2 linked regions of the Saccharomyces cerevisiae S288C genome follow. Changing the gene in region 2 together with the main gene of any one other region gives a genetic interaction. Each region holds a gene or a part of one and is shown on either strand. Other genes may lie near its edges.

Region 1 (3,760 bases), on a different chromosome or scaffold from region 2:
GACGGTAGTGTCGTAGTGATCACAGCTACACTCTGTTCGTATTTCCGTTTCCAAACCAAAGCATTGATTTAGGGTGATATTATGGTTGACTGTCTGCGCTTCCTCTTTAATAAGTTGCGAGAGCAGGAATCTGTTAAATTTTTGAGGCATATTGCGTTTAATACTTTCAGAAGAATTAAAATCCTCGATACTTTCCCTTATGCACAGCGATTCTAAATACTCTTCTAAATGTTCTTGTGGTTCACCGTTTTCTAATTGTCTTTTATCAGTTAAGGATTTCAATGACGCCTGAAAATTGGAAGAACTACATATTTTTCCATGTGATCTTTCCATCATGTCAAAGAGGTAGCCTAGATCAGTTAGCAACGTTGTTTCAAAATTCTCGTCTTTCAAACACCCAACAACGAAATTAAACATTTCTGGAATAAAGCGATACAATTGTATGATAGCATTTGTGTAGTGATTATCAACATCTGGATCCAATCCTGAATACTCAGTGTTATTAAAGGGCGTAAAATCAAAATTATCAGTACCAAATCTACCTGATGTCAGTGGAAGTCTACTGTATGCAGGGGGTACTTCGTACTTGTTGATTGAGGTATATGTCTGTATATCGCTGGTTTCTAAACCGCTTGTTATCTGTTTCCTTATATCTCTTAGACAAACGTAATCTGGTATAGCATTTCTCATACCGTATTTGGTGCGATCATATCTTAACAAAGGAAATTCTTGTGTGCTCAACTTCTCATTTTGGCTCGAGATCACAGCAAGGTTACTTTTTAATTTGCCGCTCGATGGTAAGGGTGACTTACCTGTTAATTGCGGTATGGTACCTTCACTTTTAAACACTACAGGGGGCCATGCAGACAAAAGTTTATCAAGATAGTACGGCATCCCCACAGAACTCAATGGATATGTTTCATCGTCGACAGATATTGGGCCGTCAGAGGTAATGTCATTAAAATAATCAGGATATGCTAGCATTTCAGGGGTATTGGTAAACATTCCCATGTTGTTTGATGATCTTCTCCATGTATCTAGGTGATTATCAGCTTCTAGTATACCCAATACGTCACCATTGGGGGACAAACATAACTTTTTAATCGACTGGCAAGGATGAACATATTGTGTTCTTAAAGTTGGATTGGAAAGGTCGATGAAATCAAACGAACCAGAACTTGAGGCGACGATCATAACAGTAGGAAGCAAAGGATGTAATTGAACAAAATCTGCGCCTCCAGATCCCATAGTTGTTCCTTTAGAAAAGGAAACAGGAGGGAGTTGACGCATTGTTCTCAAGTCGTAAACATTCACAAATGGGTCAGCGTATAAGTTATAAAATCTTTTGGACTTCCCTACTGTAACCAAGGTGTTATCCCGTAAATCCATAGCGGATATGGATGCAGAGTGTGCATTAAATGATTTGATAGTACGATTCGATGTTGGATCTAGCAAATCCACAGTCCCTGTTTGTCTTCCGATAGACAAAACTTTATTATTAGAGCACATTAACTTCACTTTAGATGAGTAATTCAAGAGGGAATCTAAGCAACCTCTGTTCAAGTCAATGGACGCAATTCCCCAATTTGTGTTGTCACCACCACAGTAGATATTGTTTTTCAGTGAATGAGGAGAATAGCACATAGTGTTCAATTCGCTAAATGCAGCAATATCAATGCTAGTGAGGTTCAATTTAGTAACACCTCTTCTATTAGCAAAGTGTAAGGAATCTTCACTAATAGATAAAATACCATCCCGATGACTGAGAATATCCTTCACGGAATTTCCACCTATGTGGCCCCTATATCTTGTATAAAGTTGAAAAGTTGGATCATATGACGAAATGCAACCATAGCTGTCTCCACTCCAAATTAAGTTTGCCTTCTCATCGAAGCTAATCGCTGTAATTTCCTTATCCCTATTATCGAAGCGAAAGTATGGCTTCTTCAAATGTTCCGAAAGATCAACTGGATTGTTGAAGAAATGTTGCCAATTATTCATAATACATTCACCATTCAGAAACTCAGTATAGCAATTGTGTTCTAGTAATCTCTTAGGGTGTAATGCAGTTCAAAACAAAAAATAAGCAAATAAAAAAATTTTCAGAATGTAAAAATTCTAGTTAAAATGAACGTGTATTATATGGTAATGATGTGTCTCTTGGAGATTCTATTTCTTGTGTTCCTCTATGCCCACATAGTACGTTATTTCCTATATATGCTAACGTTAAAAGCATGTTTCTTTTTCGTTATTCTCTCATTGAAAAAAACAATACGCGAAAGAGAAGGCGCCACCCGCCCCGTTTTAATACAAATAGATAAACACATAACAAAACAAAGGCTAATTAGACACTACACTCAGTGATTAAGTACTTAGTAACCGTGATTACGACGTCCCTTGTGATATCTAAGTGGGCTGACAATGAATGTGGATGAAAGAAGCCGGATTGGGGGTAGAGAGAAGGATGCGGGGCCCGGGAAAGGCATTCTTAAGCAGAACCAAAGCTCGCAAATGACTTCAAGCTTTCTAGAGAACCCTGGTGTTCGTATTCCTACCAGGATTATAACAAAAAAAGAAGTATTAGATGGTAGTAACACGACATCCAGGATCAATACTTCTAATTTACAGAGTATGGTAAAGAGAAGAGTTTCATTCGCTCCCGATGTTACGTTGCATAGTTTTACTTTCGTACCTGAACAAAACAATGAAATTAAGGAACCAAGACGTAGAAAAACTTCAACCAACAGCCCTACTAAAATATCTAGTCAAGAAGAGCCTCTTGTAACGTCTACTCAAATCGATGATGCTCGTACGGAAGAAAAAACAGCGGCAGAAGAAGATCCCGATACATCTGGGATGGAATTGACAGAACCTATAGTGGCGACACCGGATAGTAACAAGGCTTCACAGCATGATCCCACATCAATGGAAATGACTGAAGTTTTTCCTCGGAGTATCAGACAGAAAAATCCAGATGTAGAGGGAGAAAGCATTGAGTCAAGTCAACAAATCGATGATGTCGAGGCAGTGCGAGAGGAAACAATGGAATTGACGGCCATACATAATGTACACGACTATGATTCAATTTCAAAAGATACAGTAGAGGGCGAACCAATAGATCTGACAGAATATGAGTCTAAACCTTACGTTCCAAACAGTGTCTCACGCAGTACCGGGAAATCCTCTGACTATAGCGTGGAAAGAAGTAACGATAAAAGCGACCTTTCAAAATCTGAAAATAAGACGAATTCCTCTCAGCCGATGGAAATTACAGATATATTCCATGCTGATCCACAGAACCCTATGAGTCTACACAGCGACAATAACATCAATAATGATGGTAATGAGATGGAACTCACGCAAATACAGACAAACTTTGACCGCGACAATCACCACATTGACGAATCTCCCAGCGAAAAGCATGCGTTTTCTTCTAATAAGAGGCGCAAATTGGATACTGTCTCTGATTATGCTGCATCGGTTACGACACCAGTCAAAGAGGCAAAGGATACTAGTGGAGAGGACAATGATGGTGATTTAGAGATGATGGAGAAAATGTCACCCATTACATTTAGCGATGTTGATAATAAGATTGGGACGAGATCCAATGATGTGTTCACTATTGAACCCGGTACTGAGGATACTGGCATGCAAACCGCGACAGACGATGAAGAAGATGGGGAAAATGTCGATGATAACGGGAACAAAATAGTTGAGAAAACAAGACTCCCCGAAATAGACAAGGAAGGGCAGTCTGGTA
Region 2 (3,294 bases):
TCATCTAGGCCATAACTGAACCTACAGACTCTAAATGCACCGTTGTGGGAATGTGGTCTAGTCGAACTAATTTCTGCCATGGGAGTAGCCATGTTTCTGATATCATAAATTGCGCAAGTACCATTTTGAAATACCGTCGCAAATTGCAAGTCGTTTTCGGAAAAAGAGTTATAAAACCCATGGTCTGAATTTGGAGCTTCATATATGTTTTCGATATATTCTGATTCATCAGGTAACGCAAACCGTGGTATCCGTCTAACACGATTGACAGAACTACCCCAGGAAGGATGATTATCGTAATGTAAGGAGAATTGGTTGGTTAATTCATTTTGATTGTAAACAGCAAATTTATTAGAATCGCCAGACACTACCATCGTTTGACCATCATGTGACAAAGAAGCGTTATTCAAAGGAAATTTTAAATCCGCATAACGCTTCACTAGTGTTACATCTCTATTACTTACATCGCATTGGTAAAGATGACCATCATTGTTGCATGCAAAAAGATCAAACTGCATACTGGCCCTGTCATAAAGTGTGACACAATTATTGATGAACTGGCCCAACGTAAAAGTCATCATTGTGTCCGTTTCTTGATTATAAAACTCCACGATGCCCTTCCAGATATTAGGATTTGAATAATGTGAATTTATAGGGAAACTAATATTTTTGGAAATATTAATCGGTTGGGAAGGTGGCGGCAACGAAATATTTGCATCTTGAGCTAAACGGTTCCAATTAGAAGGGAATCCCTTATCATCAGAACCGATTAGACCACCACAAACAGTCAACCCATTTAATTCCGTGAAACATCTCGGCTTAAAGTTGAACTCTACCAGTTTCTCGGAAGGAACATGTAAATTTTTGGAGATATACGAGCCCGTTGTCCTAGAACCTTTTGTAGACGTTTTTTCAGTAGAGTTTTTACCACTGTTACTCGGTTGAATAGAATTATGTCGCCTTACTGGAGACCTCAATACGGAAGAATCCGTATCTAGTACTCTTATCGAATGATCGTAAATATAATACAGTTTACTCTGGTTCATGGAGCCTGGTTTGATACAATCCCGCAACTGCCAATGGTTTATGGAGACCTTGGCATCGTAGAGTTCTAAAGCAGGCATCATATAGTTTTGGTAAACCTTATCAGAGCCAGTATTTAACCGTTCATCTTGCAGCGCCTCCTTAGATTGCCCCGTGCCATCAATGGTCATTCTTTAACACGTATACTTTTGTAACTTATTGCTGTTTTTCTACCACTTTATTCGATCTTACTTGTCGTTGCTTAATCAGCAAAAGTTTTGTACTAGAATAAAGTTGTAATAGGCTTTTAATCCAGAGTCTCCTCCTCCTCACTTTCTGATCATCACCCCTTATTGCCTCAGAAAAGAGATCATACTCCGCTTTAAAGCCGTTCAATGTCACGTGACACAAAGTTGTAGCCGTATAACATATGGCGCTACCATGTTGTTATTTAGACGGGTAACATCACCGTTTAGAAAGATAAAGGAAAGTGAAATTATTGGAATGGAAAGTGTTCCCAAAAGTTCGCACCAACGCAAAAAGAAATTTTTTTTTCAATTTTGATATCATCGTTGCGTAGAGGAAGCCCTAACTGAGTAGAGAAATTATATGGTATTTTCCTTGTAATATTTGATTTTGAGTCGATATCCCCTTTGTTCTTCTTCCTTCCTTCGCTTGTTTTAGTTGTATACTTGGTTTATTGTGGAAGATTTTTTTTTCTGCTTCGTAGTTTTAAATTAGAAGTTATTTCTTTGCAAATTTCTCTTCCCCCCACAGTATTCTTTTAGAGGTGAAGTAGAAATAAACCAAGAAAGCATACACATTTTATTCTCAATGTCCAACCCATTTGATTTGTTAGGTAACGACGTCGAAGACGCTGACGTTGTCGTTTTGCCACCAAAGGAAATCGTCAAGAGCAACACTTCCTCCAAGAAGGCTGACGTCCCACCTCCATCCGCTGACCCATCCAAGGCTAGAAAGAACAGACCAAGACCTTCTGGTAACGAGGGTGCTATCAGAGACAAGACCGCTGGTAGAAGAAACAACAGATCAAAGGATGTCACTGACTCTGCCACCACCAAGAAGTCCAACACCAGAAGGGCCACTGACCGCCACTCTAGAACTGGTAAGACTGACACCAAGAAGAAGGTTAACCAAGGTTGGGGTGATGACAAGAAGGAATTGAGTGCTGAAAAGGAAGCTCAAGCCGATGCTGCTGCTGAAATTGCTGAAGACGCTGCAGAAGCTGAAGACGCTGGTAAGCCAAAGACCGCTCAATTGTCTTTGCAAGACTACTTGAACCAACAAGCTAACAACCAGTTCAACAAGGTCCCAGAAGCTAAGAAGGTTGAATTAGACGCTGAAAGAATTGAAACTGCTGAAAAGGAAGCTTACGTTCCAGCAACCAAGGTCAAGAACGTCAAATCTAAGCAATTGAAGACCAAGGAGTACTTGGAATTTGATGCCACTTTTGTTGAATCTAACACTAGAAAGAACTTCGGTGACAGAAACAACAACAGCAGAAACAACTTCAACAACCGTCGTGGTGGTAGAGGCGCTAGAAAGGGTAACAACACTGCTAACGCTACTAACTCTGCTAACACCGTTCAAAAGAACCGTAACATTGACGTTTCTAACTTGCCATCTTTGGCTTAAGCCTTATATATGAATAATTCCAACTGAAAGAATCCAATAACAGTGTTCTACTTTCTGTTTCTATTACTATTATTATTTTAATTGGTTATTTACTATATAATTTGCAAGTGAAGATGATCATGCTGGCAAACCAAAGAATAAAATTGGGTTGACATCCAATCGAGAATATGACATATCATTTTGTTTTATTTAAGCAATAAAAAATAAATGACTTTTAATTTACTTTTCAATTTTCTTTTTTTTTTTTTCACTTCTGAGATGTGCAAGCGTGTAGTTTGTTTGTATTTGTATAACAATTTCATCATTAGTCATTCTTCATTAAAAACTTTTTGTTATCGATTAAGGACATCCAGTATGATTCTTTTTCTCTCATCTTGATTATCTCTTGAGAGTATTGTTAGGCAACGCATTATACCACAGTTTTTTTTACCAAAGCGAGCGGCACTCCAGCAGGTGCTTCATGTAGTATTCAGGTATCACATCGCTATATTTTAAGTTTCTGTCGCCGTTGATCATTCCTATCTCCCATTCACTTCTTCCGTTCGGTTGCATCTGATTACCATAGTCATGTAGTCCAACTATCAAATCTTCGTGCCCTAGTTCTCCTTTTAACTT

What was found.
Region 1: of STM1 (region 2) and PAN2, extra expression of one rescues a mutant of the other (dosage rescue), as found in Saccharomyces cerevisiae (one study listed by BioGRID).

The regions. Positions count from the first base shown.
Region 1 is NC_001139.9:332,465-336,224, forward strand, and holds the start of PAN2 (poly(A)-specific ribonuclease), read right to left. Parts: upstream 2,002-3,760; coding exon 1-2,001. Other genes in the region: kinetochore-microtubule binding complex subunit SPC105, read left to right, coding at 2,422-3,760. UniProt on the Saccharomyces cerevisiae protein: Catalytic subunit of the poly(A)-nuclease (PAN) deadenylation complex, one of two cytoplasmic mRNA deadenylases involved in mRNA turnover. PAN specifically shortens poly(A) tails of RNA and the activity is stimulated by poly(A)-binding protein PAB1.
Region 2 is NC_001144.5:438,610-441,903, forward strand, and holds STM1 (Stm1p), read left to right. Parts: upstream 1-1,857; coding exon 1,858-2,679; downstream 2,680-3,294. Other genes in the region: GID11 (Gid11p), read right to left, coding at 1-1,214; PCD1 (8-oxo-dGTP diphosphatase), read right to left, coding at 3,106-3,294. UniProt on the Saccharomyces cerevisiae protein: Ribosome preservation factor that protect a small pool of nontranslating, vacant ribosomes in cells under nutrient starvation conditions.